Linked DNA regions of Rattus norvegicus. The protein of the gene in region 1 interacts with the protein of each later gene in a biochemical or structural test. Links are inferred from orthologs where the notes say so. Each region holds a gene or a part of one and is shown in the gene's direction. Other genes may lie near its edges.

Evidence for each region. The genes of interacting proteins can lie anywhere in the genome.
Region 2: the proteins of Tmed10 (region 1) and Copg1 form a complex in vitro, tested with the Homo sapiens proteins (2 studies listed by BioGRID). The link is inferred for Rattus norvegicus from reciprocal best matches to the Homo sapiens genes TMED10 and COPG1.

Annotation. Positions count from the first base shown.
Region 1 is NC_086024.1:110,754,884-110,759,318, reverse strand, and holds the start of Tmed10 (transmembrane emp24 domain-containing protein 10 precursor), read left to right. Parts: upstream 1-1,575; coding exon 1,576-1,800; intron 1,801-4,435. UniProt on the Homo sapiens protein: Cargo receptor involved in protein vesicular trafficking and quality control in the endoplasmic reticulum (ER) and Golgi.
Region 2 is NC_086022.1:121,937,435-121,941,080, forward strand, and holds part of Copg1 (coatomer subunit gamma-1), read left to right. Parts: intron 1-1,728; coding exon 1,729-1,972; intron 1,973-2,936; coding exon 2,937-3,012; intron 3,013-3,579; coding exon 3,580-3,646. UniProt on the Homo sapiens protein: The coatomer is a cytosolic protein complex that binds to dilysine motifs and reversibly associates with Golgi non-clathrin-coated vesicles, which further mediate biosynthetic protein transport from the ER, via the Golgi up to the trans Golgi network.

The DNA of each region.
Region 1 (4,435 bases):
ATGTTATATTGAGTGTATATTGGTATATTTTCAGTGCCGTAACACTTGTTATGGTTGGAGCATAAAGATGTTAAACTTTTGTTCTGGTTCTGAGACACAGCCTCACTATGTATGTAGCTCTGGCTGTCCTGGAATCCAACATGTAGACTAGGCTGGCTTCCATTCAAGGAGATACGAGTGTCTCTGCTTCCCAAGTGCTGGGATTAAAGGTGTGTGCCACTATGCCAGGCACTAAGTATCTTTTACATCGGCAAATACTATATAGTAATCATTTTATTGAGGACTAGTTTGATTATTTATCCCTGATTTAGCATAAGATTGTTGTCTATTGATTTATTTATTTTATGGATATGAATTTTGCCTGTGTGTTTGTTTACTTTTTGGATTTTCAAGACAGGGTTTCTCTGTGTAGCCCTGGTGGGATTAAAGGTGTGTATCCCCATTGCTTGGTGCTGTTTGTTGAACACACAGGATGTACTTCATTAAATACACTAGACACACTGAGTGTAGTGTCTCTATAGGGAATCAAGAGTGAATGGACGAGTCCTATATAAATCAGTTTACTACAAAAGAGCAGGGCAGTGGTGCATGTCTTTAAACCCAGCAGAGAAGGCAGAGGCAGGTGGATCTATGTGAGTTCGAGGCCAGCCTGGTCTATAGAGTTCTAGGAGAGTGAGGGCTACACAAAGAAACCCTGTCTCGAGAAATCAAACCAAACCAACAACAACAACAAAAAACTTATTGGAGGTACAGAACATGCTTTGGAAACATGCTGTTTCCTCCCCTTGACAATGCTCATCTGGTAAAATAATATTTTATGCTCATCTCTGACTGGACCAAAACAAAAATTTAAATGTTGGTTGGAGTGCAGCTTATCTCAGAAGACTATTGATGTTAAAGAAACAAACAAACAAATAAATACATTGTGAACACCAAACTTGCATCAGGCCAAACACTCGGTTCAGAGGCATTAACTGGATACCTGCCAATTCACATTCACCTGTTGACCTCTACACAATCTTCTCTGAGTTAGTGGCCCACACTCACTAAAAGCCAAATTAAAATTTTCTTTTGTGTTTTTCCTTTTCAGTGCTTCATTGTCCCAACATCTATCAGAGTAAGCGTCAGGACACCAAAATTCATTTTGTGCCTTGACCCGAAGTCTAAGCAGCCGGTGGGCGGGCTCAGAGAAAGGCCTTGTGGCTGTTTCTTATTGGGGCCTGGTTGCTATGGTGTCACCGATTTTAAAAACTCGCATGAACCACTTCCGGGGGCTTAAAACAATTACTTCCGGGGCTGCCCATACTTATAATGGTTTGCTCCTAAGTCTTTTACCACAACAAAAAATAAAACTTGTACGAAAAACTCCTGGGAACTCCTCTATAGCCCCTGAAACCCGTGGTTATGACATACTATCAAATGTGTTCTTCTTTTTAAAACTTATTTTACATTCCTTTTCTGTTAGCCAATCTCCAAAATGGCGCGGACGGCCTCGCCAGGTTAGAGGCGAGTCACGTGGGTTTCCCCGGTTCCGGCGCGCTAGAGGCCCCGGGTGGTGAACGAGGCTCCGGCACCATGTCTGGTTTGTCTGGCCCACTATCCTGGCCTGGCCCTCTCCTATCCGCCTTGCTCTTTCTGTTCCTTCTCGGCCCCAGCTCGGTCCTCGGCATCTCCTTCCATCTACCCGTGAACTCTCGGAAGTGTCTCCGCGAGGAGATCCACAAAGACTTGCTGGTTACGGGCGCGTACGAGATCACCGACCAGTCTGGGGGCGCTGGCGGCCTGCGCACCCACCTCAAGGTGCGGCCCCGGGCGGCGCGGTGGCGGGTGGCAAGAGGGCAGGCGTCGTCCAGGGGAGGCTGAGGTTGGGGGAGGCCGGCGGGCGGAGGCTGGGGCTTGGCCTGGCCTCCCCCCAACCCCATCCCTGAACGCTAAGTACGCGCGGTGGGGACCGCCCCTTCACCCGGCGCGTTGGGGTTCGCGGGGCGGGGCTGCGCGCTGAAGTCGGGGCCCTTGGAGGGGCGGAGGGGCAGAGAGGCATTGGCGAACCTAGCGTCTAGAGACCTAGGGCTCTTTCGACTTCGGGCTGTCATCAGGGTTTTGTGTCTGTGAAGTCTCGAAAATCGTGCTATAACGTGATTTTTCTGAGAAATGTGTAGAGCATCAGTGGGGTTTGACATCATAAGACACCTCAACACCTACAGATAAAGCAGACAATAACGTTGTCCGTGACTAATAAAACGTGTTATTTATTAAGCATCTGAAGTGTCACTTCCTGTGCCACATAAGGTTGTGCGTTTAGTTCAAACACTACCTTATGGAACACGTGGGTACCATTGACCTCATTTATATAAACACAGAAACTGAGGCTCAAGTAGATGACTGAACAATCGTTGGAGTTGGAATTGGATGGAAACGTGCTAAAACCTTCCTTTGTGATTCCTGGGATTTATTATTGATCAGACAAGATGGTCATAGTCTCTAGTCCCATCAGTTAGCTACACCAGGGTCATCTGGATCCATGTATGCTGACAGCTACTTTACTTAATGCCGTATGGTTCTGGTTTTCAGTGGAGTTTTGCTTGGCCAGATTTTTGAGTTGTTAATAGTTGAGTTGGTTGAGTACTGCATAATTGTGTTCATTCACAAAAAGCACTAGTAAATTTTTTGTTTTTTTCCAACAGAAGGAAAACTTCACATTCTTAAGCCAAATACAGTTTACTTAAGGTTTCTTTTTTAATTATTTATTTTGTTTTATGCATATAAGCGTTTTGGCTGCATGTTTGTACGTGTACCTTGTGGGTGCCTAGAGCCCATGGAGGCCAGAACAGGGCATTAGATTTCCTAGAACTGACATTTAAGATAGTTATGAGCCACCATATGCGTGCTGGGAACCCAAGTTGGGTCTTCTGAAAGTGCAGTAAGTGATCTAAACCTCAGAGCATCTCTCCAGCCAGGAACAGTTTTGTTTTAACAAGCTTTAGTCATATTGTTTCTATTTAAAGTATTGGGCCATGGTAGTGATAGTGTTACAAACTTTATTTAGGAGAGGAAAAACCGGACAGCTCTGATTTTTCAGGGCTATTGTTTCGTGTGCCATCTTTTTTTTTTTTTCCGGAGCTGGGGACCGAACCCAGGGCCTTGCGCTTGCTAGGCAAGCACTCTACCACTGAGCCAAATCCCCAACCCCGTGTGCCATCTTTTTAATTATCCCTCTAAATATTGAACTGTCAACCAGGAAAGTGGTGGTGGTACATTTTAAAGACACAGATACAATGTTTGGGGTTTGATAATGCTGGCCCCAGAGTAGAAGAGGAGTGGTGCCTACAATCCAAGAAGCTGAGCTCTTCAGCCTTGCTGTCTCTCCTTGAGTCCTGTGTTTGAAAACCCTTCCTGGGCTCACTGCTGCCTGTCTGACACACGTGCTGTCGTGCTCCTCCTCATGAGATCTGTCTTGAAGCTTCATATGTTGTTAGTTTCCAATTTGTGTTCCAAATGGAGTCCCCTGAGCAGTACTCTCTGTAACTGTCTCTGCTTATTCTTATTCTCCCTATCAGTAGCCTTTCTAAGGGTAGGAATTGTTTTCCTGTTCATATTTTCTAGAGTGTTCATATGTCGCCTTGCTTCTAGTAAGCATTCAGCAAGCAGGAACCATGCATGGTCCAGCCTTCCAGTAGTGAATATCTGGGCATGGGCCAGCGCCTAGCAAAGGGGTATCACCAGCAGGAGTTTGTGCTTCAACTCACTAGTATTTCACCCACACTCAGTTATCCTCCCTTTGTCTGCTGTGTCTCACCCCTAACCATCTTAATTGGACTACTGGAATCTTAAACCCAAAAGCCAAGTAGATAACACCTAGGAATGAATTGAGCCGGATACTTAAAAAGAAAAGAAGACCGGAAGCAGCTGTGTTAGTGTGGTGTCACTGGCATGGTGGAGATGTGAACGTGGAGGGAGCAGCACTCCCTCCACTCTTTGTTTGGTTTGAGGCCTCACTGGAAGCCCGGGTTGGCCTGGAACCCTCTATCCTTCTACCTCAGCCTTGCACGTGCAGGGATTGTACTCTCTCGCTCATGATGAAACTTGCCTTGCAAACACATGGGCCCTTTTGTCCCATCTGGTTTTTCAAGTGAAATAAAAAGTAAAAATTATGATGTCAAAGTCCTGAGTTTTATCACCAACACAGGTTGCTTTGGGCAGTGTTTTATTTTCATTCTTATAAAGAATGTATCCATTTGCATGTTACCCGGAGTTTGCAACTATTTAGGATCCATACTTGTTTAATCTTCATCCTTTTCCTTTTATTATTTTTGGTTAAATTGTCTCAATTCCAGGAAACCCCCAGTATTAGTATTTCAGTCTAGCTGATGTCAGCTTGAATCTCTTAAAAAAAATAGGAACATGACTACTGCGTTTTATAGCCATATAAAACACC
Region 2 (3,646 bases), on another chromosome or scaffold:
CCATGTGGTTGCTGGGAATTGAACTCAGGACCTTTGGAAGAGCAGTCTGTATGTTTAACTCTTGAGCCATCTCTCCAGCCCTCACTTTTTAAGTTTTTAAAAAATTTTTATTTTGTGTTTTGATGTGTGCGCGCGCGTGTGTGTGTGTGTGTGTGTGTGTGTGTGTGTGTGTGCAGTGTCTGTGCAGGGTAGAGTGGGTGTTAGGTCCACTGGAGCTAGAGTCACTGGCATCTGTGAGTTGCCAGATGGAGGTGCTGGAGACTGAACTGCAGTCCTCTGGAAGAATGGCTGGTGCTCTTAACCACTAACTTGTCTCTCCAGCCCCCTTAAATGTTTTTCATTTGGATTTGTTTATTATATTTTATGTGTGAATGTTTTGGCTGCGTGTATGTGCACCATTTGCATACTTAGTGCCCTCAGAGGTCAGAGGGTGTGAGATCCCATGGAGCTGGAGTTATGGATAGTTGTGAGTCAGCCTGTGGGTGTTGGGAATCAAACCAGAGTCCTCTTTAGAACAAGAGCTTTTAACCACCAAGCCTCTCCTCCCCAACCTTTTAGTTTTTAGCAAAGACTCTGTACCTGTTACACACTGTCTCCCCATCTGCCTCTCCAGCCTCTCGCCCACAGTTCTACTCTATGTTTATGATCTGACTGCTGCAGTTACCTCAGTTGAGGAGAATCACGAGGTGTTCTTCTTTTTCTGTCTCCTCTATTTTGCTTATATCCTCAGGTTTCCTCTGTATCATAGCTTGTATCAGAATTTTCTGCTTTTTCAATGTTGAATAAATATTCCTTTAAAGAACAGACTACATTTGGGGACCAAGGTGCTGTCAGTCTTGTGACGGGTGCTTCTGCAATCTGTTCTGTTGCTGAAACCCAGAAATGGAGTTACTGGATCAGATAATTCTGTCCTTGGTGTTGTGAGGAACCACCATATTGTTTTCCCAGCCTTGCGTGCCACTCATCCTAGTTTTTCATGTCTCGGTGTCTGTGTGGAGAAAGATCTCACATAACCGGACTCTCTGTTTTGAGTGAGTGAGTCTGTTAGGTACATAGCAAACAGGAGTGATGGAAGACAGCAGTAGAACCTAAGAGCACACACAGCATCCCACAGGAGTGAGCGGGAAGCCTGGGGGAGAAGGAGACCCTTGTTGACAGACTGCTAGGTGAGACTTCCATTGGCCATTCCCACCACGTGTGCTTTTACACTGTGAGATAAGCTTTGGGAAGGTTCCTGGGAGTGATTTGCTTAGCTGTCTTCAGGGATACAGTGTTATTACTTATGTGATTTACTCTTCGGGCCCCAAAGGCGCCGTTTGCACTCTTGGACTGTATTGCTGTTGCTCTTATCAAGGGCAAATGACAAGCATCCCTGGACAAGGGGTCTTAGAAGATAAAACATGCTTGGGTCTGAGGCCAGGGTTAAGGAGCAGCCCTTCCCCCAGAGCCACCTTGCAAGGCACATGACAGTTCACTATGTAAAGTACCTTGCACTAGGCAGAAGAAATGGGATCTAAAATGTTTGCATTAATCTTTCTCCTTTTAGCATTAGGAGGCCCCAGTGAGCTGCCGGGCCACGCCTGTTGGTTTTATCCTACAAAGAGACAGAACCCTCGGCTCCTGCTTCCAGACTGTCCGTGGAGCATTGTCTCTGGGCCTGGCTAGATTCAGGAACTCAGCTGGTCTCCAGAGACCATGAGCTCTGCTCAGCTAGACCTTTCTCTCCAGGGTGGCTTTGAGTACAAGCGTGCCATCGTGGACTGCATCATCAGCATCATTGAGGAGAACTCAGAGAGCAAGGAGACAGGGTTGTCACACCTGTGCGAGTTCATCGAGGACTGCGAGTTCACTGTGCTGGCCACCCGCATCCTGCACCTGTTGGGCCAGGAGGGGCCCAAGACCAACAACCCCTCCAAGTACATTCGCTTTATCTACAACCGTGTGGTCTTGGAGCACGAAGAGGTTCGGGCAGGTAGGTTCGAGCTGGGGTGATCCTGGCCTCTTAGTTTCTTTTTGCAGTGAATTTGCCAGTGAAGGGACTGAAGCTCCCAGGAGGACGAGCATCCTGGGGACATGGCCTCATGAGCTGTTCTTTACATTGTCAGGAGTTTAGATGCCAACTGGATAAAAGATTTTCTACAATTTACTTTTTAAAAATTTCACTGTATATTTGTACATAGAGTTGTTTTTTGTTTTATGATTTATGAGATAGGGTCTCGTTCTTTCTATAGCCAAGCTGACTCACACTTGAACTCCTACTACTTCAGCCTTCTATGTACTGGGATCCTAAGTACCATTGTTCCTGGCCCTTTTTTAAAAAACTGGAGAGAGAACACACACCACAAAGTTAATCTTTTTTTATAAGTCCGTGATCTATCAGTCTACCATCTTGTTTTTAATTTCATCCTATTTTTCCTTTTTCCTTCTATGCCCCTTCTAGGCAATTTTTTTTCCTTTTGGCAGTTAATCAGTAAGTGATGGTTGACTCTCCCATGTTTTACTCTCAGGCTTAGCTACAAATGGAGCTGCTCAGAAGTAGCTGACAGGGGTTGGGGATTTAGCTCAGTGGTAGAGCGCTTGCCTAGGAAGCACAAGGCCCTGGGTTCGGTCCCCAGCTCCGAAAAAAAGAACCAAAAAAAAAAAGAAAGTAGCTGACAGCGTTGATCACGTTTTTTAGCCTTAATCATTAGAAAGTAGCCCCTAGTGCCTTAGAACAGGAGCCGCTAGTGTGTTACCCCTTTCTCCAGTGACTGGAAGAGGAACGTGAGGCCCGGGTAGCACCAAGATCCACTAGAGTTGCACAGAATCTGCTCTGTGATTGTATTAGCGGTGCCACCCACTTCTGCATGGTTCCCACCCCGAGCACTGGTGGGCGCCCTCAGCACTCTGGCGGGCGGCCGAGGGCGGCGGGTGAGGCATCTTTACCTTGGAACTAGGTGCAGTGAGTGCTCTGGCCAAGTTTGGAGCCCAGAACGAAGAGATGCTGCCCAGCATCTTGGTGTTGCTGAAGAGGTGAGTGTCAGCCCAGACGCCCCAGTGTGTAGCAGCGCTCCCCTGGGTCCAGTCCAGCTTTTATTCAAATGTATTCATTGAGGCAGGATTTCTCTATATCGCCCTGGCCTTCTGGAACTTGCTATGTAGACCATGATGGCCTCAGACTCACAGAGTTCCACCTACCTCTGACTCCCAAATGCTGGAATCAAAGGTGTGAGCCACCACATCCAACAAAGATTTAATTACGTGTATCTTATTTGTGTGGGTGTGGTGCCTGCATGTGTATTTGTGTACTGTGTGGTGCGTAGTACCTGCTGAGTCCAGAAGTTATCTCCTCTGAGCTCAAGGGTCCCTCTGTATTTTGTGGTTTGGTTTGCCTTATGGTGCTGAGTGAGATCTTTACCAGGGAGCTGTCTACCGCTGAACTGCGTCAGCCCTTGTGTTTTATACTGTCATTCAAGACCCATCACCCTTGCACTGAGCTTTAAGAGCTCTGCATTGCCCTGCCATCCCCATGCAGTCCTGCACGGTCCCTCTGACACCCTGGCTCGGCTCAGTCAGGAGTACCTTGTGTCCCGGCTGCAGGTGTGTGATGGACGACGACAATGAAGTGAGAGACAGAGCCACCTTCTATCTGAACGTTCTAGAGCAG